3 linked regions of the Caenorhabditis elegans genome follow. The protein of the gene in region 1 interacts with the protein of each later gene in a biochemical or structural test. Each region holds a gene or a part of one and is shown in the gene's direction. Other genes may lie near its edges.

Evidence for each region.
Region 2: of the proteins of aak-2 (region 1) and crtc-1, one has a biochemical effect on the other in vitro, tested with the Caenorhabditis elegans proteins (one study listed by BioGRID).
Region 3: of the proteins of aak-2 (region 1) and daf-16, one has a biochemical effect on the other in vitro, tested with the Caenorhabditis elegans proteins (one study listed by BioGRID).

The regions. Positions count from the first base shown.
Region 1 is NC_003284.9:16,792,674-16,804,261, forward strand, and holds aak-2 (5'-AMP-activated protein kinase catalytic subunit alpha-2), read left to right. Parts: upstream 1-3,415; coding exon 3,416-3,558; intron 3,559-4,441; exon of another isoform or gene 4,442-4,501; intron 4,502-7,033; coding exon 7,034-7,197; intron 7,198-7,372; coding exon 7,373-7,841; intron 7,842-8,015; coding exon 8,016-8,134; intron 8,135-8,359; coding exon 8,360-8,465; intron 8,466-8,554; coding exon 8,555-8,660; intron 8,661-8,709; coding exon 8,710-8,917; intron 8,918-9,018; coding exon 9,019-9,330; intron 9,331-9,740; coding exon 9,741-9,892; intron 9,893-10,075; coding exon 10,076-10,177; 3' UTR 10,178-10,718; downstream 10,719-11,588. Other genes in the region: got-1.2 (Aspartate aminotransferase, cytoplasmic), read right to left, coding at 42-439; Degenerin mec-4, read right to left, coding at 10,719-10,904, 11,044-11,119, 11,168-11,296, 11,354-11,414, 11,459-11,573. UniProt on the Caenorhabditis elegans protein: Acts as a sensor that couples lifespan to information about energy levels and insulin-like signals. Role in motility and response to oxidative stress. Involved in the establishment of germline stem cell (GSC) quiescence during dauer development.
Region 2 is NC_003279.8:2,021,816-2,033,601, forward strand, and holds the start of crtc-1 (CREB-regulated transcription coactivator 1 homolog), read left to right. Parts: upstream 1-4,500; 5' UTR 4,501-4,597; coding exon 4,598-4,699; intron 4,700-6,009; coding exon 6,010-6,087; intron 6,088-6,390; coding exon 6,391-6,522; intron 6,523-6,573; coding exon 6,574-6,779; intron 6,780-7,858; coding exon 7,859-8,197; intron 8,198-9,834; coding exon 9,835-10,312; intron 10,313-11,459; coding exon 11,460-11,585; 3' UTR 11,586-11,786. UniProt on the Caenorhabditis elegans protein: Transcriptional coactivator for crh-1, the homolog of vertebrate transcription factor CREB1. Regulates the transcription of metabolic genes and may have a role in mitochondrial dynamics and metabolism. Involved in modulation of lifespan.
Region 3 is NC_003279.8:10,745,933-10,754,686, forward strand, and holds the start of daf-16 (Forkhead box protein O), read left to right. Parts: upstream 1-4,565; coding exon 4,566-4,577; intron 4,578-4,630; exon of another isoform or gene 4,631-4,639; coding exon 4,640-4,723; exon of another isoform or gene 4,724-4,773; intron 4,774-4,961; coding exon 4,962-5,052; intron 5,053-5,105; coding exon 5,106-5,256; intron 5,257-6,486; exon of another isoform or gene 6,487-6,625; intron 6,626-7,133; exon of another isoform or gene 7,134-7,280; intron 7,281-8,754. UniProt on the Caenorhabditis elegans protein: Forkhead-type transcription factor. Binds to the promoters of genes that contain the daf-16/FOXO binding element (DBE), TTGTTTAC, in their regulatory region.

The DNA.
Region 1 (11,588 bases):
ATCAGATAAGTATGTTTGGCTCCGATTTTTCGACCACTTACCATGTTGGGTTGCTCACGTAGACGGTCTTCATGTTACACACTGAAGCAAGAAACTCGGCTCCAGCACGAAGAGCTCCGGTTCCAGAGAGACACTGTACTCCAAACGATCTTTCCTCCTTGATAGCTGGCGATTCGGCTCCGAGGACAAGCTCGGTGGCAGCCTTGCGGAAACCCTCGTGACCGAGAACTGGAAGATACTCGTGATTGAGCGAGGTGTCGTTGGCGATTTCGACTTCAGTCTCATGAACGACTGGAAGCACCCATGGCTGTCCCTCCTCTGTGCGGTAGGCTCCAATTGTCAGGTTAACTTTGACGGGAGCCGTCTCATCGAGGTACATCTTGTTCTTGTGGAACACCTCGATTGGTGGAGCAACTGGGATTCCGTCAAAGAAGGACATGTTGAGTGTTGTTTCTGGAATTAAAAAAAATCAATAAGTTTAGTTATAGAAATTGAAGAGATGAAAAGAGTGGCGGTATGCCGCAAAACGCGATAATGAGGTGTATTTATATAGCGAAAGAGATCAAAATCGAAAAATGACCACGTTAAAAGGAGGTCACCTCATCGACATTCGAGAGGATTTACTTGGAAACAAAAAACGTTTTAGGTGTTTCCAATAAAAATCGATTTGATGATAAAAATTATTATACGATAAGAAACGTAAAACTTTCTACTTTCTTATTTTAGCACTCAAGAAATCAACAGAAACGTGTGTTGATAAGACTACGGGCCCAGTTTCAAGACTGAACTAGATGGTTACTTTCTATTGCACCAAAGTCGACAGTTCACAACAAAAGTTACAGGAAATTTTGCCTAGTTTTCGGACAAATTGAGGAAAGGGGGTCTCAAAAACGGACTGCCTCTTCTCGACAACTCTTTCTCGTCGGCCCGCCCTCCAATAAGCACACACTATTTCCGAGAAAACAACACATGCGGGTAGAAAACGAGAGGCAGCGTTGTTGTTTGCCAGAGACGTTTTTCGAGACGTGACCATTTTGAAAATTTTTATTTCGAGGAAAACGTGATGGCAAGGTGGAGAGAACGGGCAAAACGCAGCGCAATGAGATCGAAATGTGTCATTTGTGAGGGTTTCAAAGTGTTCTTTGATAAGGCAAATTACTTTTTTGAAAATTGAAAAAAAAGATTGGATATTTATCTAGGTTAATGTAATAAGATCCTAGGAATAAATGAAATTATATCAAAATTCCCTCACCAAAAATGAAAAACTATTTTTTTTTTTGAAATTTTCTAGTGGAAGTTTTCTTCTGTTTTTGCCTATAGAAAAACCTTGAAAGAGCTGATTTTTTCAAAATCCCTTTACAAAAGGAATCAAGGTTAACCTATACAACTACCTCGTGAACTTCAAAGATTCAAAAACCAAACGACCACTTCAAAAATTATTGGCAAAATGACCTTTTGAAATGAGTGATGGTGCGAAACCGCCTAGATAAATAAATATAACAATCTCACGTGGCCAGGCGGAAAAACATGTTTATGTAAATTTTCGAAACGAAAAATAATCGGTTTTCTTTTTGGGGTGATGATGGCGGGACATGATGAAAAGAAATGGAACAGTATACACGAGAAAATCCAAGTTGCTGGGTATTTAGAAATATGGATGAGAACTAAACAACATTCCGCCCGGTAAACGCCTTTGAATGAATGAGAAGTAAAAATGAAAAAAAATCACAGAAAAATATTCACCGTAATGAGAATTTGCATACAAGATTTCCGGTAGAAAGAAGGGTGAGAGAAGAGGTAAAGAAAAAGGCGATAAGAGGCGCCTCCGGGCCGCCTTAAAGCCTCAATTCTACGTGGCGAAGTTCTCAACAAAGTTTTGTAAAATTTACGACAACTAAAAATTTTTTCAGCACATTCTGATTTATTATTTTAGTCACCGACTTTAATGGGTGGCCTTTAATGATTTTGAAGTTAATTTGAAAATTTTTAAAATCAATAAAGATGAACATGGACATGGATTTTTCACAAAACTAACAATTAAGAGGCAACAAAAACAAACATAATGATAGTTGTTAGAAAAATGGAAATTGAACAAAAATTTCAAAAACAAAGAAAGCAAGTCAACAAGTGTCTAACGAAGAAGTAAACTTTTCTCATCACTTGGACGCCGAGTGTGCTCAAAACCATTGTGCTCCGAAATATGACACTTTTCAACTCGTCCCATCGTTCAAAGTTATTATTCCCTCTCATTTTTTTTCCCGCGCTCTCGTTGGCTCTCGTATCATGAGCTCTCGTTGACAAGTAACTTTTAAGTTTCAAAATTTATCTATAGTTGTTAAAGTATAATGTTTTCCTAGAAGCTGTAAGCTTGGCAGGTGACTTTCCCTGCGGGAATTGCGAAAAAAATAGAGACTGAATAAAACGCATATACTGTTTCATATTGTCTGGCACGTGCCTTGTGGCAGGAGGTATACCAATACACTGCCCCGTTCTGATCCGATTACTTTGACAAAAGTCGCCGAGTCTGATACTCACAAACAGTAGCGTCAAGTGAGGAGGGCTCACTTTACCAGAATTTATTATGAATGTTTCTGGTATCATCACATTGTTTCAACTTTCCACGCGCTGTTACATTGCGTTTTGAATCGATTTTTTGGTATTCTGCCAAATATAGCTTCAGTGCGTTGCACTCGAGCATCTGAACATATTTGCTTTTTGTTTGGCGAGAGGAAGGAAAAAGCACTGAAAAGTGCTTAAAAATCGTTTTGAAATAAGGATTAGTAACTGGATTAGAGCTAGAGCATTAAGTGATATTAGGCAATTTTTGTTATTTCTAAAAATATGGAACTATGCGGGTGGAATTTTTTGTTCACATGAACGTGTCAAAAAAATTGTTAATGTTCATACCCTCATTTACATTTCCACTTTTATGGCATTTTGGAAAAAGATGGCTATATTCGCCCTGTTAGTTTTAGAAAACCTTTTCCACTAGATATTGAAATTTCGAAGTGAAGTTTTCGCTTTCATCAAACATTCTTCGAGAGCTAGCTTCAATTGTTCTCCTTCATTTTTTCTATTGCTTTATGTTGCATTGAATAGCTAAAAAAAAATTCAAAAAGCTATCCCTTCAAAAAAAGAAAATTCGCTGCTTCTCGACGTGAAAAACAATGAAAAAAGTGTTCGGTGAGTACTTGTTCTATTTACACAGCAAACCTTTTTAGCAGCCGAGCTGTTAGAAAAACCAAAAAACGCCACCAAAATATGCTTATTCACATTTTCCGTCATCACCATCGCCGCCGATTTCTGCGCATGACAAAGTGGCTTTTCTCTCTTTTTTTGGATTTCAAGGTCTAACATTGCCGTTCTAATGCCCGTTTTTTAGGTTACATTTCAAAATAACCGACTATTTTCAGAAATGTTTTCTCATCAAGATCGAGACCGCGATAGGAAGGAGGACGGTGGTGGAGACGGTACTGAGATGAAATCCAAGAGTCGGAGTCAGCCAAGTGGACTTAATCGCGTGAAAAATCTTTCAAGAAAGCTATCGGCAAAGTCAAGGTTAGTTTTTGAGGGGTTTTCGGGGGGTCAAGGGAAGTCAAAAACCGCAATTCTAAAATTTTGCGATGGGTAGCCACAGAAGGGATGTTCTTTTCATTTGAAAATGTGAAAAAGATTAATTTTTTTTAAAACCACACTGATGAGTTTAGTGAAAAAATTAAACATGCTTCTAGCGCCTCAGCTAATCAACTCAGATTTTCCGTACAAATTACTTTAGTATTACGAAATATTGAAAAATTCATCGGCCCTCAGCAAATTAGATTCCAATTCGGGAAAATACTGAATTTTCCCTGAATTCCGTGTTTTGTCTGTGTGAATTAAAGATTGTTCACATTTAAAATAACGTACCAAGGTTTTTTTTTGAAAACTTTCTAGATCACTAGTTTTTGAAAGACTAAATATTAATTTTCAGCAACTTTTTGTAAACGCCCATTACGATTAGCAAAACAGAAAAAGATAACAGCAAAAATGTTCAATGCAAAAACAAAAGAAAAGAGACTGGAGCCTTAATGCAAAACGAACAATGTGGGGGCCCTTCCCGAATAAGTGAGCCGCGCGGAACGCTGCCGCCCTCCACTAAACAACGCGCGGTACGATACTCCGTTCATCGGACCAACTTCCCCCCTCTTTACCTAGTTGGCAACATTTTCTTCGTATTCTCACGGATTCTCCTCATTCATTCCGCTTTCAAACCCAATTTCCGTGCATTTAGCATTGGAAAAACACGTGCCGCAACGTATCCGAAAATAGTGTGAGACGCAGACGGCTGGCGCCCCGCGTGAGGCGACCAAAAGGCTTTTCTTCTTTTTGTCCTCCGTTGAAAATCATGGTAAATTGAGTGATCTCGTTTGCGTATTTGTGTGTATGAGAGAGTGTGAGTGTGTGTGTGTGTGTGTGTGGACACGCCAAAGCTTGATGGAGTCACATGTATATCATGAAAAACACAAACAGATACCACACCAACGAATCTTGAACCTTGAGTTCTTCCGCCAGTGTTCATTTTTAACATCTCTTCATCGTTCTGCAAGGAGACCTGTCAAAATTTCCAACAAAAAAAAGAGTTTCCCATAAATTAGGAAAATTCTGATAGGTTCGGAAGTTTTCCGTGAAGTAACTGAATATATTTTCAATGATCACGAGAAGGCAATTGAATAAATGTTAGTTGGAAAATTTTTATTGAGCTTCTAGATTTTGTTGTCTAATATTTGAGCCTCAAACTTTTAATATAGGTTATTATTTTTTATTGCAGCCGACAATTTTTTGTGGCAATTTATATACAAAAGCATAAATATCTGAGATGCTTAGTTTCATAGAAATTCAGTTCAAGAGGCTTCACCGTATAATATAATATATTCTTGCTGAAACTACAGGAAAATTTAGTGGGAACTTGTGAAATTTGAAAGCTCCCAGATTCGATTTTGTCATTCTTTTATGCAATGCAAAAATTATTTTTAAAAAACTGTTTTCGACATTTTCTCATGATTTGTGAAAAAGTTTTTTTCTCAAATAGAAGTTAAGCTCATTTTTCTAAATAGTTTTTCTAAACCCTGGATTGTCTCAAATCCGCTGTAGAAAAGTTGAAGCGACTGACATCTTATGAGCTAAATTTTTCCTGAGTTTTTGAAATAGACTACATCTTGATAATTGAACATTACAGTTTGACAAAATTTATAAAAATATTGATCAGTTGGATTTTATTATTTTTCTGTTGTTTTGTTCTAGCTCCAGTAGGGTGGATATTTTTCAAAAATCTCAAATTTTTGTGCAACTTCTATTAGTACAAATATAAAAATATTTCAAACGTGCACTTTTTGAACATGGACATACGTTAAATTTCCAATATAAAGGGCAAACTTTCAGCTGAGTTAGGAGAATATGAGCAGCTGTTAATCACATAAATCTAACAAAAAAACCACATGTTCCAACTTAAAATTGATTTCAAAATTTTGTGGCCAAAATGAAACCCTACGATGTCAGCCGAGTTTACTTTTTCAAAGTGCAGTTAGAAAAATTGTCTCAATTTTTTATCAGTGGAAACGTTTTTGGTAGTCTCACTAATTTTAAAGTTTAACTCGTTTTAGTAGAAGTCATTTAAAAAATTCAAAAATTGCGGTGTAACAGTTCTTTTAATACTTTTTCAAATGCCATAAATCGTCTGTAATTAATTTTCTACCAACTTGACAATTTCAATTAGTAAAATCACAGTTTTAATGCATAACTTTTTGATGCTAGTCGTATCAAATTGTGATTATTGTTGTTATCTTCACCACTTATATTACGAGTGTATCAAATTTCGATGACACAATACGGCTATTATTCATTGAGCGCTTGTGTTTTCTCTATCGTCTCCACTGTCTGACCTTCGATGATGTTTTTCTACATGTTTTTTTGTTCTCTCAAAATAGATGTTTCAGTTCCTCCAACCTTTTGAAAATCTGTAATTGGTGTTGATTTTGGAACCTTTCCTATTGTCTCTTCTACCATTCATATCCGGCACATTTATGTCAAAACACTGACTGCACCTGCTGTTTTTGAAATTTAGTGTCTGGTGTCTGGGCGGCAGTCATAAGACCTGATGGGCATACGGTTTTCCTAGAGACTCCTACTGCAATGGTCATTCTGTGATAAGAAGTTGCTTTTTTGTTTATCCATTCAAAATTACCATCCAAAAACCACACCAGTTATCAATTTTTAAGTCTTTGAGACCCGTAAAATCAATCAATCATGTCCACATTGCACTTTTGCCTGTAGAAAAACGCGATTTTCGGTTTTCAATCTTATCTCATTTCTGGTTTTCGTTCCCATTTGACTACTTGTTGTCAATTTTTTAGGTTAGGTCTAAATAAATATTAAAGATTTTTTAAAAATTTAAATGAAAGTTCAATTTCTTCTTTCTATTTTTTTGTTCCTACCTACCAACGCTGTTTGCGCCGGAGGACGATAGACATAAGGAAACGAACACACGGGATGCCTTTCCCTTCTATTTTTCTCCTCTTTTTCTCTATCTCTCGCCATTGCTTTGTGCTGTATGGTCAACTCTCGTTGTCTTCGCTGTGCGTGTGTGTTTGTCTGTTGTTAGAAAACGAGGAAAATTGTGAGAAAGAGTGAGCGAGGAAGATCGAGAGAGAAGAGTGTGCGTGTGAGAGGTGTAGGGGTCGCGAGAGTGTGCGGGAGGTTGGCGGACCTTTTACCACATTTTCGGCCAAAGGAAAAAAGGCATCGATCTTTGTTGGTTGTAGTTCTAGACATTTTTTGTTTCTGCTATGTTCTCAAAACACCAAAACTTGTTCTTAGATTTCTGATCTTTGAAAAATACATGCTCTTTATACACTTGTTTTTCTCGTTGTTTTGCTATTTGCAGGAGGTTCCTCGTGACTGTATTTATTGATTTTTTAACTGAACAATTATTCTGAGGAACTTGTGAATTCGAGATTTTACTTACGATCATTTACCTACCAACAACGTACGTTTTCAGAAAGGAACGCAAGGACCGCGATAGCACAGACAACAGTTCGAAAATGTCGTCTCCAGGAGGAGAAACGTCGACGAAGCAGCAACAAGAGCTCAAAGCTCAAATCAAAATCGGACATTACATTCTCAAGGAGACACTCGGAGTTGGTACTTTTGGTAAAGTAAAAGGTAAGCTACAACACCTTAAAATTCAACCAAACCGGAAAGTTAGAAACTTTTTCATTTGCTGCAACTTCCTGGCAACACCATAAGCTGCCAAATTGTTGCAAAAATTTTGTCCCAATCTGCCAAATACTGACATATTTATCTTTCTTTTCTGTTCATCTAGTTTTCACATTTTCAGTTGGAATCCATGAGACAACTCAATACAAAGTGGCTGTCAAGATTCTGAACCGTCAGAAGATCAAGTCACTGGATGTCGTTGGAAAGATTCGCCGCGAAATCCAAAACCTCTCGCTCTTCCGCCATCCGCATATCATCCGCCTCTACCAAGTCATCAGTACACCTTCTGACATTTTCATGATTATGGAGCACGTTTCCGGCGGGGAGCTCTTTGACTACATTGTTAAGCACGGACGGCTGAAGACCGCAGAAGCTCGTCGCTTCTTTCAACAAATCATTTCCGGCGTTGACTACTGTCATCGTCATATGGTTGTCCATAGAGATTTGAAGCCAGAGAATTTGTTGCTCGATGAGCAGAACAATGTGAAGATTGCGGACTTTGGACTTTCAAATATTATGACGGATGGTGACTTCTTACGCACCAGCTGCGGATCGCCAAATTATGCTGCCCCTGAGGTTATTAGCGGAAAGTGAGTGATTATGGTGGTCTCCTGATCATGGTTCAATGTAAAATAAAAACCAAATTAGAACTGAATAACAAAACATGAAACATGTGTTCGCAAACACCAAGACGACATTTTGCACTAGTAGAAATCCAATTAAAGTAATTGAACAAGATTAGACACAACAACTTTGTTTTGCAGGTTGTACGCAGGTCCCGAAGTTGATGTATGGTCGTGTGGAGTCATTTTGTATGCACTTCTTTGTGGAACCCTGCCATTTGATGATGAGCACGTGCCAAGTCTTTTCAGAAAAATTAAATGTACGTTAGTGTGACATGAGAATCAAAACACAAAAATGGCAAAGGATTACGACAACATACCAATTTCATTTAGACATATGAAAGCGAAATGGGATTTGAAAATTGAAATATCCCTATTACAAAAGGCACTATTACTATGTTTTGGCGCACTGCCCGGGTGATAAATGTTTGAAATTTAAATTGGAATCATTAAAAATTATAACGTTCACGAAATATGTTTTTTAGCTGGCGTATTCCCAACTCCAGACTTTCTGGAGCGCCCAATTGTAAATCTGCTTCACCATATGCTCTGCGTAGACCCGATGAAGAGGGCCACCATCAAGGACGTCATGTAAGTGGTCTTCTAAAAAGAAAAAAAAAACAAACATCGTTGCTATGAGACGCCAAGGAAACAAGACAATAACTGCTTTATATTTTCAGTGCTCACGAGTGGTTCCAGAAGGATTTGCCGAACTACTTGTTCCCACCAATCAACGAGAGTGAGGCTTCCATTGTTGATATTGAGGCTGTCCGAGAGGTCACTGAGGTATTAATCGTGTTCGATAGGAGCAGAAGTTTCTAATCACAATGAAAAGTTTCAGCGCTATCATGTCGCCGAAGAGGAAGTCACCTCAGCATTGCTGGGAGATGATCCACATCACCATTTGTCGATTGCATATAACTTGATTGTTGATAACAAGAGAATTGCCGATGAGACTGCCAAGTTGTCAATTGAGGAGTTTTATCAAGTGACGCCGAATAAGGGACCTGGACCAGTTCATCGCCATCCAGAGCGCATTGCAGGTAGGAGAGGGTGCATAGAAAAACTCTTGGTGGCAAAGAATAATAAAACTTTTGCATCGAACATGAAATTCGTAAAACAATATCTAAATCTTCAATTTCAGCGTCAGTCAGCAGCAAGATCACACCAACTCTCGACAACACGGAAGCCAGTGGCGCGAACCGCAACAAACGTGCCAAGTGGCATCTGGGTATCCGATCCCAAAGTCGTCCGGAAGACATCATGTTCGAGGTGTTCCGTGCGATGAAGCAGCTGGACATGGAGTGGAAGGTGCTCAACCCATATCATGTGATTGTTCGTCGCAAGCCTGATGCACCCGCTGCCGACCCGCCAAAGATGTCGTTGCAGTTGTACCAAGTGGATCAGAGAAGTTACTTGTTGGATTTCAAGAGTTTGGCCGACGAGGAGTCTGGATGTAAGGGTTTTCTTTGTTTAGATTGAACTTTTTGAAAGTGGAACCTGTTTAAAATATTTAGTTAATCGTTCTAGAAAATACTAGAAAATACAAGTTAGTGCATTTTTTTAAACTAAAATCACAATTTGAATTTGAAAAGCCGTAGAATAATATTTTGCAATGGTCTCTGAACATGCCCCTCTATAACCTAAGTTTCTGCATGTAGTCTAGCTTAACGTGTCACAATAATTTTGTTCAGAAATGTTTAAAACGAAGTTTGCTTTGCAGTTGGAAAAATAAAAAGGTCAATGGAAATTCTTTTTCAATAGCGTCAAGTCTTCTCAAGACGATTTTTTTTGTATGCATTTTTTCCTAATGGGTCAAATGAATATATAATTTCCACCTCAACCAATATTCATTAAAAATTTCAGCCGCCAGTGCATCTTCATCCCGACACGCATCAATGTCTATGCCGCAGAAGCCGGCCGGAATTCGTGGAACTAGAACGTCAAGCATGCCACAGGCGATGAGTATGGAGGCGAGTATTGAGAAAATGGAAGTGCATGATTTTTCGGACATGTCGGTGAGAATTAATATTTTTCTTTTATTTCAATATTTTTATTGTGAAGTATTACAAATAACTGGAATTGTATTTGGAGTGGTTGATATAGTTATAGGTTTTTTAAAAATCTTCGAGTGACAAGAAGTTGATGCCACTACCTTTAAATAATTAACGCACTAATTTTCAATGACCGAGTATTTTCAGTGCGATGTGACACCACCACCATCTCCTGGAGGAGCTAAGCTTTCCCAGACTATGCAATTCTTTGAGATTTGCGCCGCATTGATTGGAACACTGGCTCGTTAAGCACTCCTTGATGCCAACAATGCTCTGTGTAAAATTCAACTTTTCTGTCTCAAAATTTATTTCTTCCATTCCTTGTATTAAGCTTGAAACCCCCGTTTCTTATATTGGTTCACTTTGTTGCAGCTTACAGTATCTTTGTATTTTTTTTCTTGACTCTGTTTGGTTTTGCCCCTCCCCCCTTCACCTCCGTAAATGCCACGTATTTTAATTGATGCTATTCTAGTGCCGCTTTCATTTTCAGCCAATTTTGACAAGTAACCATACAAATAATTATTTAAAGTTATGACTTGACTTGTCACCCCCTTTGTTTCTGTGAATAGATTTTCCTTCAGCGAGTGATTGTTTCTGTTTTTTATATGTTTCTCTTCAGTAGTTTTTTTTTCTGTCTTTTAAACTCCCCTTCTCCTACTTCTTTGTGTCTATTGTAAGTAAAATATTAATTGAATAATTTCCTACCCAAAATTATTCAATTATTCTCATGTAAATTTTTATTTTAAGACACAACATTGCAATGGTAACTTTAAAACAAGAAAAAACAAATTCAGAAAGATCCAGACGCAATTTTCTTTGCCTTCTCAGCCTTCTTCTTTTTGTACAGAGAGTAGTTATGTTCGGCACTCATGTAGGCAGTTTCCAAGAAAAGGAACACAAATTCGCAACAGGTAAGGAAGGATATTCCGCACCAAAGACCGAGTTGTCCACCAAAATCGGCTAGCAAGTTGACAAACTAGAAATAGTTGAGATAAATTTTTTGGAATAAAAATAAATTTTTTTTTGCCTGCTCGCTAGTAGTAATTCGGCATTTTTTCGAATTTTTTTGATACATTTCTTTGATACACGTTCTTTGCCTAAATTTTTCAACTCACCCCATAAGCCTCTGATTCAGTGAGCATTTCAAAATTCAACTGCTCGTAGAACACTTCCACCATTGCTCCGTTCTCTCTCAAATAGGCCCAATTTTAAAGTGTGTTTTTTCTTGAATTAACTTACTTATAATGCTTATTACACTCTACCGCTGTACCATTACACGATCCTAGTTGAATTTGCAAAGATAACGACGGCCACTTTGCCGGCGAGTATGTAACGGAGTAGATTGACTGGCGGCATGGTTGTTGGCATCTTAAAATTGAAATTGCAGTTTTTTATTTAAAAAGTATATAACAATTCAAAAGTTACCTGCAACGGAAAGATCCGTGTAGGCCTCCCAAGTCATTCATTCTGGCGTCAAGACATTTTCCTGCAGAAAAAAATATTTATGGAGATGTCAAATTTGAAACTAACTTGCAATAGGGTCTGCTGCATCGCAATGCCGTGCATTTTCAGGGACTGGGAAACGTGGATCTCCACATCTGCACTCTTTCAGCACGAGTTGTTGGAAGCAAGAACGGTAGCAGCCCTGGAATAGTTCCCT
Region 2 (11,786 bases), on another chromosome or scaffold:
GGCCATATCTGGGATAGATTTAAGGCGCGTTGCGTGTCGCGTCGCGGCTCAATTTTAGTTGTAAAATTAAATGTATTTGTCCGTGTGGAGTACACGACTTTCCCAGTCCGGCAGGCGATTGTCAATGGAGCGCGAAAAATTCAATGAGGAAGGCCAAAACCCCTTCAAAATTCGAATTTTTTAATTTAAATTTTTGAGTTTAAAAAAATTTTAAATTCATAAATTTTAAAAAACTGTACGAGCAACCGCGCTCCATTGATAAATAACTAGAAATCTATGCAAATCGTCCTCAAAAACTAGTCCACGGCCCCAAGTTTAAAAAACTCAAAATTTTCCAAAAAAAAATCTGCCACGTGGAACTTCAGCTCATTTGTTGTCACTTCTTCTTTGGTTTTTTCCCGGAATTTCTCCGGAAAATGCAGCTCTTTTTAGTCTTCCGCTTTTTGCTTTGAATTTTAGATTTTTCTTTGTTGGTTTTTCACCCACTCTTTTTGTTGGGGAATTTTCCAACTTTTTAAAACTTTCCCACAATGATCACTGAATTAAACGCAAATTTAAATTTACATAAACCGCCTAAAAATGTTGCGAATTTGCCCTTTTTTTTCATAAATATGCAAAATTGTACGCATATTATATTTCGAAAGTGTGCTCTATTGATAAACTGGTTACGGATTTTTTTACAACTGAAATCGAGCCGCGTCGCGGCTCGATTTCAGTTGTAAAACTAAATGTATATTTCCGTGTGGAGTACACGACTTTCCCAGTCCGGCGGGTGATTGTCAATGGAGCGCGAAAAATTCAATGAGGAAAGCCAGAACCCCGTGAAAAATGTTGCAGCAACTGCGCTCTATTGATAAGTTGATCTATTTTGATTTTTCCGGAAAATTAGGTAATTCAATCGGGGTTTTTTGATTAATGTTTCCATGATTTTTCGCAGTAGAAAGAAAATTGGAAAATGTCAGAAACATATTTCCGGCGGCGGGGCAATAATACATGTATAAACTTTTTATCGAGTGAGCTCTTTGGACTTTGCCTATTAATATCCTGGTAGCCTGGAAAAACGTAGAAAACGTCTAAAAAATATATCCTCGTGGCCTAGGAAACCTTTTTCACGGCCTAGAAAACATTTGGCCTAAAATCCCCAAAGCCTCTAAAAGGAAACTTTTTCGCGGGGTTCTGGCCTTCCTCATTGATTTTAGTTTTACAGCTAAAACCGAGCCGCGACGCGACACGCTACGCGCCGTAAATCTACCCCAGATATGGCCGAGCCAAATGGCCTAGTTCGGCAAACTCTTCCATTTCAATTTATGCCTTTTTCACTGTCTAGAAAAGGAAACTTTCCATAAAAACATTTTTTTTTTCAATATGGAAATTTCAAAAAAAAAATTCTGATTCATCTTTTGGACTGAAAGAAAACTAGAAAACTAGCTGAAATTTGCATTTTTTTGAATACATTTTCCAGTTTTTTGTTGTATTGTTTTGTCCGTCCAGACACAATTTTTCACTTTTTTTGGTCTTTTTCTTCCCTTTCCCCAGTGAAGTTTTCATCAATATTTTATGCGAAAACGATAAGAAGAAGAAGCACATGATGTCATCATGGGATTCCTTACTGGATGAACGAAAAAAAAAACAATAAGAAACCTATCAGAAGAGCGCATTTTTACACGTGATGTATTGATGGAAGAGGAAATTTCTGAGCTACTAATTTTGTTTTAGTTTGATTTATTTCTAGGCCTCTGTTTTAAGATTTTTAGGCCATTTAAAAATTTTAAGACAGTTTTGGTGTTTCTAGGTCATCAAAAGTTTTTAGGTCATGTTGAAATTTTTAGTCGGTTTCATATTTCTAAACTGTATATGGATGGAAGAGGAAATTTCTAGGCCACGTTGCTAATTTTGCTTCAGTGTGATTTTTCTCTTATTTCTAGGCCTCTGTTTTAAGATTTCTAGGCTATGTTGGAAGTTCTAGGCCACCTAAAACTTGTGAACTTTTTTCGAACTTGCAAAGTCCTATTCCAAATTTCTAGGCCACAACTAAGACGGTTTTGGTATTTCTAGGCCATCAAAAGTTTTTAGGTCATGTTGAAATTTTTAGTCGGTTTCATATTTCTAAACTGTATATGGATGGAAGAGGAAATTTCTAGGCCACGTTGCTAATTTTGCTTCAGTGTGATTTTTCACTTATTTCTAGGCCTCTGTTTTAAGATTCTTAGGCCATGCTGGAAGTTCTAGGCCACCTGCAAGGTTATATTCCGTCTAGGTCACCTGAAAATTTAAGGTATTTCTAGGCCATCAAAAGTTTTCTAGGTTATGTTGAAATTTCTAGACAATTTTGAAACTTCTGGGCCATCTCATATTTCTAAACTTTTTTGTACTTCCTAGGCCACGGGGTTCTGGCCTTCCTCATTGAGTTTTTTGCGCTCCATTGACAATAGTCGTGTACTCCACACGGACAATTACATTTAGTTTTACAACTAAAATCGAGCCGCGACGCGACACGCAACGCACCGTAAATCTACCCCAGATATGGCCGAGCCAAAATGGCCTAGTTCGGTAAAACTCTTCCATCTCAATTCATTTGTTTGGTACTGACAGGTAATCTGAAATAATAAAAATAAAAATGTTTATATTACCTAACTTTATTTTTAGTTGTCTAGAACACTGCTAAACTTCTGCCATATATCAGGTTTTCTAGGCCACGGCCACGTTTTTACCAAATTTTTTACATAAAATTTAAATTATATGTTGCGAAAATGTTAAATATCTAGACTTGCTGAGAAAACCCTATAATTTCAATCTTTTTGTAGTTTTTGTTATTTTTCCGGCAAAAAAAAAAACTAAATCTCTCCTAAATTTAGCGCTGAGCACTTCCCGAAATAAGTGGTAAACGTCTCTCTCACTCATTTCGGAGCGACACACACACACACAACGCCCTTAGCCTTATCACATGCTCTTTTTTGTCTTTTTCTCTAAGTCTCTCACCGGCCACCACCATCTATTCTCTCTCTCTCTCTCTTTCTGCTTTTTTTTTCTTCTTTTTTTATGTATGTGTCAGCTTCCTTGATTTCCTCTTTTTTCAGCCAATTTCCAGCTTATTTTTAGATTTTTTTAATTGCCACGTGGCAATTGCTCTTTTGTATAGCTTTTAAAAAGTTAAAATTTTCAAAAAAAAATTATTGATGAGTCATTTATTTAAATTTGTGTTGAAATATTTTGTTCCGTTAATTTTTTTCAAAAAAATTGTACACGTGGAGTACACGAGCCTTTTTCAAGTTTTCTGAAAAAAATTTTGGCGGGAATTCAAATCTTCTGAGAAAAATTTTGGCGGGATTTCAAAAAAATTTTCTGAAAAAAATTGAATTTCTAGGCCACGTAGAAAAACTGATGGCCTAACTTATCATTAATCCTAGGCCACAAAGAAATCTGACCTAACTTCTATGTATTCTCGGCCATATTGTGCAAAAACCTATTTTCCAGGCTAAACTTTTCTTGGTCACGAGGGAAAATCTCAGGGACCTCTCAACTAATAGCCTAACTTCCCAAAATCAACCAGTTTTTGGTGGCCGAAGTTTTCAAATTGTTCTGCCACTTGGGAAAATTAAAGAAAATATTGATGACCTAACTTTCCCTAAACCTAGGCCACCAGAAAAAATCTTCTCTAATTTTAGAATAAGTTTCCAAAAGTCGAACTTTCGAAATTTATCTGCCACATCTAGATTTTCTAAATTAGTTTGCCTCTTTTTCAGGTGGCCTAACTTTTCCTAAAACTAGGCTACAGGGAAAACTCAAAGGCCATCTTTCCAGGTGGCCTAATTTTTCAACTTCTTAGGCCACAAGGAAAAATCTTCTATATTTTTTAACCCTGGGTCGAACTTTTCCACTTACTCCATGCCTAACTTGATAAAATCCCAGGTAACGGGGTTCTGGCCTTCCTCATTGAATTTTTCGCGCTCCATTGCCAATCGCCCGCCGGACTGGGAAAGTCGTGTACTCCACACGGACAAATACATTTAGTTTTACAACTAAAATGAAGCTACGACGCGCTGTAAATCTACTCCAGATATGGCCGAGCAAAAATGGCCTAGTTCGGCAAAAACTCTTCCATTTAAATTTATGAGAAAATCCATGCCAGGTCACGTGGGGATACCGTTGATGTTCCTGATGGCCTAATTTTCCAAAATACTAGGCCATAAGAAGATAGTGGCCGAACTTTTAAATTTTATCGGTCACGCTGCTCTCCTCGGCAAAATGAAATTTTCTCGCAATGCAATGTTTCCCAAATTTCCCCCATACTACTCTCGACACATTTTCCGATTTTAGATATATATATATATATCCTTGTGTGCATGTGTGTCTAATCTCTGAAAGTGCTCTCTCTCTCTCAAGGCTTCTCCTCCACCCTCACCTCCTCCTTCAGCTCTCGGATTTCATTTTCATTTTCTGATCTTTTCCCGTCTCTCTCTCCCTTGCTCGTTTTATTTTACTCATTTCAATCACCTGCAGGAAAAACATCGAAACATTTGAATTCTCCATCTGAAATTTCCCCCAAGTATAGCGGAAATAGACCGACGAAATCGCTCTCTCCCTGGGAGCGATGCGAATGTCAAATTCGAATACACCACGCAAGTTCAGTGAGAAGATTGCAATACTCGAGAGGAAACAGAATGAGGAGAATACAACGTTTGAGGATATTATGCGACAGGTTTGGAAATTAGCTATATATATATATATATATATATATAATGCAAAATTTGTTTTTCTAAATTGCGTTTTTATTTGAAAATTTAACATTTGTTGAGAACTAACAAAAAATTAGTAAAAATAATTTTTTGGGCGAAACTAAAGAAATTTAACAGTTGTACCAGGGGTGGGCGCAACTGCCGTTCGGCAAATTGCCGGTTTGCCGTTTGCCGGTTACCAGATTTGCCGGAAATATTTAGAGGGATTTTTTATAAGACGGAAAAATCTAAAAACGTTTTCTTTAGATATTTTCATATAATATGCTTACTTTTCAAAATAGATGTAGGAACATTCATAGGATGCGTTTAATTTTGCCATTTGAAATTGAAATTCTGAAATTTCCAAAAAATAGTGCGAAACCACAATTTGCCGAAAATTTTCGGCAAATTACCGTTATTCTGGCGAATTCGGGAAATCGGTAATTTGCCGGTTTGCCGATTTGCCGGAAATGTTTAATTCCGGCAATTTGCCGATTTGCCGGAAAAAATCGTTTGCCACCCGCCCCTGACAAGTTATACTCGAAGAATTTTTTTTTTTCAACTTTTTCATAAACTCATCAAAGTCATGACTTTCAATTTTTTAGTATCAAAAGCGGATAATAGTTACTTGAAAAATATAATTGTCTCGAATCGAATAATTAATCGAAAAATTGGAAATGTCTACTGAAATAGCGCCAATTGTTTCAAAACATTAAAAAAAAAAACTAAAATAAAAAAAAATTCTAAATTTTATATGAGTTTTTGAAAATAGGCAAAATCTCCGTTTTTGCCACTTTTTTGGAAGTCGTAGATCAATAAAATTTTTATTTCATTTTTATAGTCTACTTGTGCTTCAAACATTAATATTTTCAAATTTTCGGCAATCGACAATTCCGGTAATTGCCGGTTTTGTTACTTTCCGGCAATCGGCAATTTCGTCGATTGTTGGTTTTGGAAATTTTCGGCAACCGGTAAGTTTGGAAATTTCCGGTTTTGGAAATTTTTGCCAATTGCCAAAAATGATAATTTCCGGCAATTTCTGGAATTGCCGGTTTTGGAAATATCCGGCAATTTCGGCAATTCCGGCAATTGTTGGTTTTATGGATTTTTGGCAATTTTTGGCAATTTCGGCAATTGCAGAAAATTGAAATTTCTGACTATTTCGGCCATTTCGGTAATTGCCGTGTTTATGAATTTTTGGGCAATTTCGGCAATTGCCGGTTTTCAAAATTTTTCGCAATGACAATGGCCGTAAAAATGTTAAGTAGCAAGATGCCAATATTTTTCTATTCAGGTGCAATCAATCACCCATCATCCGACGGATTCATCAGGATCATCGACGGCAACTGCACCAATGCCCATTCCGCAACAGGTAAGGCGAATCTACAAAAGTGAAAATAATTGTGGAAATATAGAAACATATTTTTTCTGTTTGAAAATAACATCCATTTTCATCGAAACACTTGAAAAATATCTCAAAAACTGCCTGAAACTTTCCAAAGAATTTGCCTTTTTTTTTTAGAAATTTTCAGAACGTCTCATTACGGAATTTGGTAGTTTTGTATCATTTTAGGTCTAAAAAAGCAAAGTCTCAAATTTCGGTACTCCACCTTTAAAATCAAAATGTTACAATTATTCAAATGTTAGTATAAACTATTGAATGAACATATTCCAGGGTCTCCTTCCACCTCAACAACCATGGGGTCACAATCTCGGAGGATCCCTGCCGAACGTCCATCAAATGCCATCCTACTCTCCACCACAATGGCCACCAAATTGGCAGCACGAGATTCAACACAGACCTATCGTAAGTTTTTTTCCTAATTGTAAATCTCTTCAGCAACGAACTCCATTACAGCAAGGACATCGAAGTCGATCACCAGAGGATCACATGATCGGAAGTGCATCTGGATCACCATCACATCACTATCATCCGTATGGAATGAGATCGAATGGATTATCACGATCGCCCGATCGAACGCCTCCCCAACACCCGCAGTATACGCCCTATGGACCCCCGTATAACCAACCTGGACAGCTTGTGCCGCCCGAGTCGTGGAATCAGTGAGTTTTTGAATTTTGATAAATATTTAAAAACTGAGTTTTTTTTCTCTAAAAATCAGCGTCAGCGAGAAGTTTTTTTTTTAATTTCAAATGCAAATTTTTGCGAACTACATTTTTATACTTTAATTTTGCCTTAATTATTCGTATTAAAACATTGTATTTTTTCTTTATCGATTTGAATCTTTGACAACAAACGGGATATTATAAAACGTTTATAAATAGTTGAAAATTGTTTTTTGAGTAGACAGTTTTTTGTCAAATAACTGGTTTTGGAATTACAATCCAAAATTTGGACTTTTTCAAAACGTGTACCTAGCACACTTCCAATGGCCGTCGTAGCTCAGAAATGGGTATAGATGAAACAAGGTGGCCAAATTTTTTGAAATTTTTTTATTTACTGTCAAAAGGTGGCAATTACTATTTTTACATTCAAAAATCCAAAAAAAAAACCAAAAAATATTGATGCTTGAGTTTATTTTTAATGGGTTTATTCAAATAATGTTGCAAAATGTATTAACATACATGTTTTAATGGATTCTGATACAGTTGTGACGTAATTTTTCTACATTTCAATTTTCCGACACTACTTGAATAACCCTACTAATAGAGAATAGTCACGAGTCGAGACTCGACACGGCAAACATTTTTTGGATTTTTTGGACTAAAAAAAAACCAAAAAATCAATTTTTAGATTTTTCGAATTAATTTTTCGCAAAAAAAAACCAAAAAAACCCTGCTTTGCATGTTTCTAAAGTTACAGCCGTTCAAAATTTAAAAACTCATTTTTGCAAATATTTTTCATCACTTTAATGACACCAATACGCAATGACTGAGTCTGTAATTTCACATAGTAATTTAACTAACAAAACAAAGTTTTGGAAAAAAATTCCGAACCAATTTTTTTGATATTCGATTCAATATTTATTTGACATTTCACAGCCTTTTTCACGAAAAAAAAACCATTTTTCTACCTAAATTACCCGTATCCGAAAGTCGGGCAGTCTTGTTGCAAATATTCGCTGAATTTAATCCTTTAATATATATATTCGAAAAATCAGAGCCAATTTTTGACCTTGCAGAATCAATCGTGCACGTTCGGATCCTGCAATTCATAACATGGGCGGTATGGTTCCAATGCATCCACATCACCATCAACAACAACAAATGGCATTTCATCAAATGCCTCATTATCTTCAAAATTCGATGCCTGGACCATCTGGAATGATGGCTCCGAACAGTCAATCACAACAACACTCACCTCAGTTAACACCTCAAGGATCGCAGCAAGGATCACCGGTTCAGATGCATCATCAGATACCTCCACCATTACAAATGGGCAATAACCAACAAATGGGCGGAGGCAATAATGGAATGTCACCGTTACAATCACCTAATCATATGATGACACCTATGTATGGGTGAGTTGGTTGCAAAGTTTAAGTGGCCCGGGGATATAAAGTTGGAGATTTGAACCACAAAAAATGCGGGATTTTTTCCCCAGAAAATAGTGACGTCAGCACGTTCTTAAGCATGCGAAATCAGTTGAGAACTCTGCGTCTCACCTCCCGCATTTTTCGAAGATCAAAGCTAAATGGGACTTTCTAACTCCACGTGGTTGCAAAGTTTACGTGGCCGTGGCGTGGTGGCCGAGTGGCCGAGTTTTCCAACCAAACTTTTTGAGCAATTACCCGTAAAATTACGATTTCAGCATCTAATTTTAAGTGCCGACCAGCAAAAATCTTTTTAAAAAATCAGCCACCAATTTTTTACACAGACACTTTGCACGGGGTTCTTTCTTTCCTCATTAATACTTTTTTGGAGTTTCTATGCCATCAAAAGTTTTTAGGCCATGTTGAAATTTCTAGGCCGTCCCATATTTCTAAACTTTTCTGTACTTCCTAGGCCACCTTTCAATTTTCCAGGCTCCTAAAATATTATTTTTCACGGGCTCCGGCCTTCCTCACTGAATTTTTCGCGCTCCATTGACAATCGCCTGCCGGACTGGGAAAGTCGTGTACTCCACACGGACAAATACATTTAGTTTTACAACTAAAATCGAGCCGCGACGCGACACGCAACGCGCCGTAAATCTACCCCGGCCGTGCCCGAGCTAAAATGGCCTAGTTCGGCAAAAACTCTTCCATTTCAAGTTTTGCAAAATTTTTACAAAATTGTGTTATATTCGTAAAATTTCCAATGGGACTGATATCAGCAGTTTCGTTTGAAATTGCCACGTGGCCGAGTTTCCCTATTTCGGGGCCTATTTCCGGATTTTTTAGAACACACCAATAACTGCTACGTGGCCGAGTTTTCTCTTGTAGCAAATATGCCCGGCCACGTAAATTTTCGAATAAAAAATAACAGAATTCAGTAATTTGGGCGATTTTCTCGAATGAAAACCTTTAAAAAAAGTAGATTTTCGGTTTTTTTTTTCTGGCTTCCCTCATAAATTGAAATGGAAGAGTTTTTGCCGAACTAGGCCAGGCCATATTTGGGGTAGATTTACGGCGCGTTGCGTGTCGCGTCGCGGCTCGATTTTAGTTGTAAAACTAAATGCATTTGTCCGTGTGGAGTACACGACTTTCCCACGCGTTGTCCGGCAGAAGATTTCCAATGGAGCGCGAAAAATTCAATGAGGAAGGCCAGAACCCCGTGTGCAACGTGGCCGAGCTTTTTTCAAGGCCGCGTGGCCTATTTGTTTATGAAATCTGAAAAAAAAAAAATTTTTGGCCGGCAATTTTTTTTTTTGGAAAATCTATCTATCTGGTTTTTTTTCAAATTTTTCATCATGCCCGAGTTTTCAGTTTTTGCGGAATTTAAAAAACCTTTCTCATTGAATTTTTCGCGCTCCATTGACAATCGGCTTCGGGAAACGCGTGGGAAAGTCGTGTACTCCACAATGACACTGAAACCGAGCCGCGACGCGACACGCAGCGCGCCGTAAACCTACCCAAGATATGGCCTGGCCTAGTCCGCCAAAAACTCTTCCATTTCAAAATATGAGGGAAACCTAAAAAATGACACTTTTTCAAACGATAATCCGCATACTTTCCAGGTATCATAATGGCTCACCACTCCATTCACCGATGGATTCACCCCATGCCTCAACATTAATGCTCGATGGATCAGGGACACCCTCTCCGTATATGGAAGTAAGTCCTCCCGGAATGCATGATTTCAATCAAGATGCCGGAAGTTTACCCAATCTTCAAAATGTGCAACAGCAGCAGCAACAGCAACAGGAAATTTATACAAACGGGGGAGCCCCTGGTGGTGGATACTATCATGCTCCAATTGGACCAAGACATAGTACAGGTGCATGTGGTCCGAGGCTAGTACCCGGTCCAGCGTTGACACCCGAATCACAGTCGGCGCCGACGTCACCGCATAATCAATTGGATCCGAATCAACCGCCCATGTGGCCGACGAGAACATTCTCCAATTCACCGGAGGCATTGGATATTCCGAAATTGACAATTACAAATGCTGAAGGTGCACCTGGGCATCATGTTGATTCGTATAATGATTTTAATGTAGGTTGTATTGAATTTTCACGTGGTGTCAGATTGCCTCATTTCGGCTTGATCTACGTAGATCTACAAAAAAGGCGGGAATTTAAACGCAGAGTTCTGACGTCACATTTTTTTTGAGCTAAAATTTCCCGCATTTTTTCTAGATCAAACCGTAATGGAACAGCCCCTCACGTGGTGGCAGGCTGTCCCTTTACGGTTTGATCTACAAAAAATGCGGGATTTTTTTTGCCCAAAAAATGTGACGTCGGCACGTTCTTAACCATGCAAAATCAGTTGAGAACTCTGCGTCTCTTCTCCCGCATTTTTCGGAGATCAAACCGAAAAGAGACATTCTGACACCACGTGGCCCCTGGCACCCCACGTGAAAATTAAAGTAGCGAAATTTTGTTTTTTGTAAGCCAAAAAATAGTCTTAAATTTTGAACGGAGACCAAAAATTTTTTTTTTTAATTTTAAAATTTCCGCCGATTTTTGCTCATGTTTTGCTGAAACTCGGCCACCAATTTCACTTTCGCGGTCACGTGGCGATCGTAATTTTCGGATTTTTTCAAACTTTTCAAGACAAAAATTAAGTTTTCACAAGTTTCAACAATTCAAAAACAACTCGACGCCTAAATTTTTAGATTTTTTTCGAAAAAAAACGTTCCTGTCCTGATTTCTATTGAAATTTCGTAATTATAAAAAACTCGGCCATCAATTTTTTTTCTCGGCCATGCGGTTTTTTTCAAAAAAAAATTCAAATTTCTGCATCTTTTTTTTAGTTTTCTATGCTATCAGTTATGGTTTTCAAAAAACAAAACTCGGCCACCAATTTTTGTTTCGCGGTCGTTCTGGTCTTCCTCGTTGAATTTTTCGCGCTCCATTGACAATCGCCCGCCGGACTGGGAAAGTCGTGTACTACACGACAAATACATTTAGTTTCACAACTAGAATCGAGCCGCGACGCGACACGCAACTCGCCGTAAATCTACTGAGCCAAAATGGCCTAGTTCGGCAAAAACTCTTCCATTTCAAAATAGCTATATTCCGCTGAATTGTGGTTATAAAAGAACGAAACTCTTGGAAAAAAATATAAAAAAAGTCGCTGCGAGACTCCGTAAACCCCCTTTGTCCAATATAGCGCAATTGCATCACACATCTTTTTACAGGATCTTGGCCTCGACTCACTGGACAGCGTGTTATGTAACGGAGCGCCGCCACAGACAATATCCAACCACCAAACACCCAACAACTCATTCCATGATCCGGGCGGTACACAAATGCTCCAAAATTAGGTCCCGCCCACGCACGTGGTGTCAGAGTGTCTCATTTCGGTTTGATTTACGTAGATCTACAAAAAATGCGCATTTTTTGAAAATTCCCGCATTTTTTGTAGATCAAACCGTGATGGGCCTGGCACCATGTCTCTATCTCTCATTCACTTTCTCTCTCTCTCTCTGTCTCTCTAATTCTCTTGCCCCTCGCCACGAGATTCC
Region 3 (8,754 bases), on another chromosome or scaffold:
TTAAAGGTGGAGTAGACCCAGTAGGGCTTTTGTCTATTATACTTCAAAGAACTTAGATTTTTCATAATTTCCGGTCAAAGTTTTGGCAAACTGCCAAAACTTTGAATGTTTTAATACTAGTAATTAAAACAAAATAAATAACAGTATTAAAAGTGTAGGAAATTTTTTTTGGTCGACTTCCAAAATTATGAGTAGCAAAAACTGAGCAATTGTCACTTTTTAACAGTGAATAAAACATTTTCAAATTTTTTTTTGAAACGAAAACCCAACTCTACCTCCAAAAAAAAGGTTTTGAAATAAATTTTCAAGTTTAAAGTTGCCGTTTGCCGGAATAAATTTAACGCCAACTTTTAGGCAAGGTACTTTTCGAGTTTTTAACAAAAATAAATATTATTTTCAGATTGACCAGACCTCTTTCGACAGTTTTATATAAATTTTACTGAAATAGGTACTTTTGTACTTCTGCCGAAAATATGCCCCTGCTACCAATCACCCCATTTTTCACTCAAATTCAAACAAAATCATCTTTCTCAAACTTTTGTTTACATGAAAATACAATAATTTTGCGGCCTTGTTCCAATTGCAGTGTACTTTCTGACATTATTCTTGTTTTCTTGCCGCATTCTGCCGTACTCATAAACTCGCTGACCCCATAGATTCTCCGCCGCCAGCAGATTTTATTTGTCAAGGCCAATTTTCTGATTTTTCATTCTACGGCAAAGTGCATCTTTTTTGGCCGGCGCGGTCGGACATTGGAAAACATAAAAAGTAGGAGAAAAATATTTGATTTCCAAGAAATTGTATAAAGAAGACTATAGTTTCTTATTGATTTCATAGGAAATAGTAGAACTGCAAAAAATTATTCAGGCATACACTTTGCAGTAGGCACGTGGCAGGCAGATAATTTTAAATTTTTTTCCTGTTTTCAAAAATGTTTTAAGATGACCAATGATTTCATAAACTTACTATATTAAATGCCGTAGCTTAAAGATCACAAGAAAATGTTTCGAATCCATAAAAGAAGCAATTCTCGTGATACATATTAACCACGCAATTTTTTATAATTTAATGTTCTCTTGAGAAACCAGAGCTCAAGAAAAAAATGACAGAGATATTCTCAATTTTTGAGCACACTAAAATCTCTGACCCCAAGACGACATTAATGTGCTTGGCCAATGTTCAGAATTTTTGGGATTTTGGAGGTTTTTTTAAATTCTAATATAAATTCTTCCAAAAAAGGTAAAATAATGGGTCTCGTCACGATAAACTTAAAATTCAAATTCTCCAAAGCAATTACCTTTGGTGATAGAAATTCAAAAAGAGAGACGGCTCGAAAAGTGCCCCTAGAAAAGTGATAACGATGTGAACTTTCGAATTAAAGTGTTGACGCAAAAAATATGTTTCAAACTTATTTTCGAATTCCCGATTTGTCTCTTTTGCAATTCATTTCTAGTTGATAAGAGGGTTGACTCTCCCGATTCCATTTCTTTTTCTCTGAAAATTTTTTCAAGAACTGAACATTTCAATTCTTTTACGAATCGTTCTCTTGGTGAGCAGGAGATTTTTGTTGCAAAAATTGTGTTCAAGCCTCAAACACCAGTGACCAGAATCTCTTTCTTTCAAGTTTCACAACATAATAGAAAAATCCTTTTAGTGCAATATCTTGGCTCTTCCGTGGTGGTCTTGCCAGTTGACAGTTTTACAGTAGTTTTATGAAAACTACAGTATAGTTTCATTAAAAAAATTTTTTTCTGGAACTCTAGTTAATAAGAGAAAAGATTTCTTAAACTTTTCGGTCCTGACATGCTCAAAAATTTTCAACTACCGTACTTCATGCATATCTTTAAATTTTCCCCTATTTCTCTCGTTTTTTTATTACGGAAACACTAAATTCTGAGAATGCAGCAAATTTGACGCGCAAAATATCTCATAGCGAAAACTACAGTAACCCTTTATATACCTACTGTAGCGCTTTGTGTCGATTTACGGGCTCGATTTTTGAAATAAATATATTTTCGAACTGCGAGAACAAACTTTTTTTTTCACTTTCCTTCGAAATTTTTTAAATTTAAATTTGAAAATCGAGCCCGTAAATCGACACAAGAGCTACAGTAGTCATTTACAGTGATTTTCGCTACGAGATATTTTGCGCGTCAAATATATTGCGCAATACGCATTAATAGAATTGTTTGTTTCCGTAATATCGGTAGAGCAAATGTGCATCACCGTAGTGAAAACATCTGTTTATCTCCCGAAAGCCATCCCTCACTTCCTCTATTCGAAAAAAAAACGGGCCCAGTACATCTCAACGGTCACCTGCTAAATTTGAAATTCAGTGGGGGGAAGGCCCATCTGCTAGAGAGTGTATCTCTCTTCTTTTTTCGATTCGTCTAGACCCATTTTGCAGACGAAAAGGCACATGATACCCATTCCCCAACAATTCAAACTAAATTTGCAAAAAAACATAGGTTCACATTATATTCATATGGGGAGACCCTTCTAGTGGATCATACACCGATACCTTATCACATTTTCTGTTAACAATTTGAAACAGACATACACAAAAAAGAATGGAAAAGAGTTTCATGGTTTGAATTTCGGAGATCACAGGGCAACCGGCGGGAACATTGGCGCCCGCCGCCACAATTGTGATCTCTTATTTTAAGCGATCACTTTTTGGAGAAAGAGAGCGAGCGGGGCGCAAGAAGGGTCGCACGTGAATGACGAGGCATCTATGTGTGGCTCCGCCCGTTTTTGTTGACTTGTTTCTCTGTCTAGTGTACTTTAACACACAATTCAGTAAGTCTTTTCCTCTTCTTCTCCTGTGCCCGGAGAAGAAGAAAAAGACAGGTGGGTTTTGATGATGATCCACGAAAATAACCGTCAGATGATTATGTAAGAGACACTTTTTGATCGTTTTCAATTGAAAATAGAACGTAGCAAATTGAAAATAGTTTTCGTCGTGTTTTTTGAAAAGTTATTTTTTTGTGAAAAACATGAGTGTTTTCTATGTTTTGCATGTTTTCTGCTCTTTTTCAGTTATTTACAAAATGCAGCAAAAGATTGTTTAGAAAGATTGAAAAGACTTAGCGCGTATAGTTTGATCTATTGGTGGGGGTGGAGTCAGTGCATCTAATTTTACGCGCAATTTTATTATGAAAAAAAAAAAAAAAGAAAAAAAAGAAAAAAAAATTTCTTTGAAAAGCAAAAAAATTGCCAAAAATTGGAGATTAGAAAACTTTTAAAAAAAATCGGCAACTCTATTACGGGAACACAAACTTGTGAGAATGCGTATTTCACAACATATTTGACGCGCAGAATGTCTCGTAGCGAAAACTTGACTACTCTAACGCTTATGTCGATTTACGTGCTCGATGTTCGAAATCCTTTGATTTAATAAAATTCATCTCGAAGATCGAGCCCGTAAATCGACACAAGCGCTACAGTAGTCATGTTTTCGCTACGAGATATTTTGCGCGTAAAATATGTTTTGCAATACGCATTCTAAAAACTTTGTGTTCCCGTAATAACCAAAGTGCTTCGAAGTTTTACGAGAAAAATCCAATTTTTTGGAACTATTGTTAACGACATGTTTAGAAAAAGGTGTTTCTTCAAAAAAAAAGAAGGAAAATTGACAGAATTTCAAGGAAATTTACAAAAAAAAATCGAATTTTAATTACATTTCTGCTATATTTATGAAAAAAATTCGTAAGAAACTGTTATTTTTCCTCAAAAAAAAAGAAAAAAAAAACCAAAATTAATATTATATACTTTTAGAAAAATATTTTTTTTTTCGAAAAAATATAATATATTCTCCAAAGTTTTTCCAGCTCAAAGAAATTTTCGCCTTTCTTTAATTAAAAAATTTGAATTTGAAACCTTCATATTTTCTGTACTTTTTCGTAAACTCCGGTGTTTGCACAGTGTAGATTTACGAACTCTGATTTTTTTTTCTTGAAATCATTTTTTTACCAAAATCTTCTCTCACGATTTCCTCTCTTTAAAAAACTCATGTTTTATTCCTAATAGTGAGTTCGTTTGGGGCGAGCTTGCTGCTTTTTCGCTTTATATCTTCTTTTTTTCGTTTCCCCTTTTTCTTTTCCGTCTCAAAGTTCATAAAACAGTTTTGCACTTTCTCGTAAACAACTCTCGCATGGGGTCGCTCAGAAGTTGATCTCTGAAACCTCTGTCGCCGGCCGCCAACCAACGAGAAAAAAAAGCATTCCCAATGTCCTCTTTTCTATTTTTTTTTTCTTCATATTATTTCTCAAGGAAAGACATATCGGTTTACTTTTCCATCATTTGACGAGAACATGTGATGGAAAAAATGGTGGAAAAGTGGGCAAAAATGGATTGTGATAAGAAACTTTTTTTTTGCAAAAAAATCTTCCTCTATACACATTTTATGTCAAAATAAGCTTCTTCTCTCTCTCTTTTTATCAGTTCGAGACGTCGGAAATGTTCATTTTTAGTTAAGATTTCAAAATTATCCAAAATAAAAACGTTTCATTTGAAATTAATTTCCTCATTGTAACTTCTATTCAATTTCTATCTGTATTTTAATGATGCAACTCGAGGTTTTTAACATTTTTTGCTTATAATTATGATTCTAAATTGAAAATCAAACTAAAATTTGCAGCAAAAGTCTTCATTACATTGCTCGAAGTGCCGAAATTTTCTGCAAAAATTCTCACAGGACATGCAAGCGTGGAACTGTCGTGAGGTATGGCGCCGCATACGCAAACACCTTGCACACACATCGAGAACTACCGTATACTCGCAGTTTAAATTTCAAATTTTCGAAATTTTTTTCCAATCATTTTTCCCTATTTTTCTTCATTTCGCTGCTAAAAATAGTTGTTTTGAACCCGATTTTGTGCGAAATCGTGGAAGTTTACACAGCTTTTACAGTTGAAAATCAAAAAAGCGCGCTTTTTTCGTCTAATTTGCCCAGTTTTCAGCTCGATTCGCCGCTACCATCTGACATCACACTGCACAATCTCGAACCGGCAAGGCCTGATTCCGGAATGAGTTTTTCCACTGATTTTGACGGTAAATTCGTGATTTAAAGTTGTAAATTCCAATTTTATTTGTTTTTTTTTCAGATGATTTCTTCAATCTCGACCTCCATCAACAAGAGCGTTCGGCTTCTTTTGGCGGAGTAACCCAGTATTCTCAACAATTTCTTCGCGAAAAATGCTCGTTCTCTCCGTATTTCCACACATCTTTAGAGACTGTTGACAGCGGAAGAACTAGGTACGCCAAATTTAAGATTTTTAGGTGGTTTGTGAAGGTTCATAAAAGTCGAATTGCACTAAAAGCATTGTTTCGTGGAAAAAGGACAAACGCTATAAAAGTTGATGATTTTTGCCCTTTTTATCAATTTTTGAAAGAGTTTTGGCTTGTGAACAAGCCTCGGTTTTAAAATTTCAAAATTTCAAAATTTTAAATGTTTAAATTAAAAAAGAACAAAAAAATATATAGAAATATATATATATATGCCGAATGGCCTTGAATTTTTCTCAATTTTAGGTCTCAGCTGACCTTTTACTGTTTCTGATTTTTCAATTCTTGTGGTCGTGTCGCGTCATCTTTTATCTGTCACATTCGCTCTGATTTTTGATCATCGAAATTTCTTTTTTTCGTTACTCTTCCAATTTCTCCATTTTATTTCCGATCGGTTGGCACAATCAAAAGTGATTTCTCTCATTGTTGCTGACCTCGAGATTTGTTTAAGGGAAAACCCTTTGATGTCATCACTGTTTTAGTTGTTTTTTGTTTCTAATCATTTAACACTTTTTCGTCTTTTATAGGCCAACAAGCCTATTGTCAGCTGTTGGTCCACTAAGCACACGGGAAATTCACGTGCATGTGAGGAGGAGAGGCAAATAGAATTTAAAGGGGTTTCCCCGATCTTTTGACTCTTTTCTCTCTTTTTTTTTCTCGCGGAGTTGCAGTTTGCAAACAACTGGTGATTAGGTTTTCTATTTTCTCTTTTCTCTTTTGATTGCTTGGAAATTAGATTTGATGCAAACTTTAATATCATGAGTTTCTGATTCAACTTTTTTAAAGACAGAAATCGTATTTTCGTTCTAAAAATAATTTCTCTCTACAGTAACCCCATTTCTTTTAAAAACCGTCGTCGCCCGTCTCAACAATTACTCACCATTGTGTGCAACATTGTATACGGTGTGACGTTCAGAGGTCGAAAACTGTCACGCGTTTGCTCCCTCACTGTATTGCCAGACAGAGTCTCTCTGTCTCTCTCTCTCTGTTCTGTCACATCAGCTGTTCTTCTCTCTACGGGAAGGAAGCACAAAATGGCAAACATTTGAAAGAAAGGGAGAGAGCAAGTGGTATTTGAGAACGGAAAAGTGCACTTTTTGCACACTGTTGTAGCGGGGTTTTTGATTAGAACAGACGATAGGTCGAAAATCAGAGAACAGAAACGAAGTACCTATTATGGTTCCATTTTAGAAAATTCAAATTTTCGAAATAAGGAGGTTTTTGGCAGAACTGGTAATTCCTGTATGATTTCAAATTTTTTGAATCAAAAATTAAAACAGAAATGTAGGAAAATCATATACCTTTATTAAAAAAGCTTGAAAAGTTTCAGGCAACGCCTGAAAGTCGCTTTTTTTATATTTGGAATTTTTAACTAACTCTACATCTTAAAATTAAGTGTTGATTCTAAATATGGGAATATCATATCGAAAATATTTTTTTTGGCGATCTTGTGCCCCCAAGCCAATTTTTTTTGAATTAAGAGTCTCTACAATATCGACCATTTTCACACAGTACGGTACTTTAATTTAATTGTCATTCCACTCAGCCTTCCTACTATACACGTCCCATTGGATTTCAGTGTCTCGTTGTCTGGATAGACTCGCGTCGAAAAAAAAGGAAAAAAAGTAGTGTGTTCTACTCACGGTCTGTCTGTGATTTTTTTTGCTGCCTCCTCTCTCTGGTGAAAGTGAAAGTGTTTGTTTTGGCCTTTAGTCCTTCTTCCTTCCTACGCTCTGATTTTCAGTGAAATTTGATCGAGACCTCACTTTTTTTTAGTCGACCTGAAAATCTGGTGGCCAAAAATATCAGTTAGATCTAGCTTATCGGAATTACCATTGAGTTATTTGTTCTTTGTACTCTCACGAAATCTTTCCCACTCCATTGCGCTATATAATCAAGCTCCTTTTGACTGTCAACATACTGACAGTCTTTGATCATTTCATCATACATTGCCAGGCGTCTTTATCAATTGCCTGCTGCAAAAGATAAAAGTCAGTCAGACGCGTTGACACCGATTTTTCTTTCTCATGTAAAAAATCAAAAAAGAACAAAAACGGCAAGTGACGTTGTATATTCTGTTTTGAAAATAAATTATTAAAAAAACAGTTTCAAAGGTCAGAGTTCTAGGCGTAAACTAGATGATGTGATAATCTGAAATTACTGTAAAAAGCCCCTCCCACGAAAAATCTTTAGGTTTCTGCTAACTAATAACGCACTTGAACTAGACTCTCTCTTGGTTTTGCACTTTTGTTATTGCCCTCTCTCTGTTTCTCCCCGCACACTCCCGTTTCTTGTTACTCCGATGAAACTCTTGTTATACATTGCTCTTATAGTTTTTGGTCCTTTTTTTTTGGAATTCAAATATTGTTGAAACCAACAACAACGAAAAAATTCCCCGCAATCATTGTTGACTTTTTAACCCATCACTTTACACACAAATGGTATTGGCATGTGTCTGTCTGAAAAACAACCCAATAAAAGTGAAAACGGGGAACATGAAGTTCGCTTTTTTCGGAATTTTGGAACGCTTTTTTTTTCAAAAAAAAAATTTCTTTTGTCGGAAAGTCTTCCAATGACGTTATTCATATAATGAATTCATCACAAAAAGGGAAATCCTAACCAAATTTTTTCGCGATTCAGTGCAAAATATTGCAGCAACTTGTCCAACATCGCTACTCTCGCAACATTTTTCCCCTGTCGTCGTCGCCATCGTTATCTCTTTCCCTTTTTTGTCTCTGCAAATGAAAACCGGTTTCCCCCGTGTTCGATTCGCGATGTCTCCTCTCGATTTTTGTGAAGAGAATCGAAAAACGAGACCAAATGGGAATACCGATGTACTTTTTTCCTCCCTGGAGGTTTTTTTGCCGAGTGTCTAGATGTCTACGTGCCTCGAGAATATAAGAAGGAATAGTTTTATCAGTCTTCTTCAAGTTTCTAGTCTCGAATTTTCCATCTAGCCATCTGAGATAAGAAGAAAATTATATGAAAATGTATCCTAGAATACTGTAATCTTCTTTATCAGTTGTTTCAACAATATCCTTCTTACTGCTCACTGAGCCCTAAACCTCTTGGATCCCACACACACAGATCTATCAATGCTATCGGTTCCGATCTGTGCTCAACTATTTCTCCGATTGCCTTCGTCTCTCAACGATCACCTTATTTTCTAACACTGATGAAATGAGCATGTGATTCGTCTTTTTTTTGCTCAAATCATTCAACAGATTTGATGATGGGCACATCGGATAAAGATTAACAAAATGTTTATCACCTTAGTGTTCGCTTCTTTGAGGATTCTGTAAATTGGATTATCTGAAACTCATCGAGCTTAAAAAGTTGATAGTTCACGGAACCACGTGACTCCCACGTTCTTCTGATGTTATAAGCTTTCTCCGTAATCTTCCATTCACTCCTTCCAGCTTTTCCCCACTGATTAATGTCAACGTGAAATCTATGATGACGTTAATG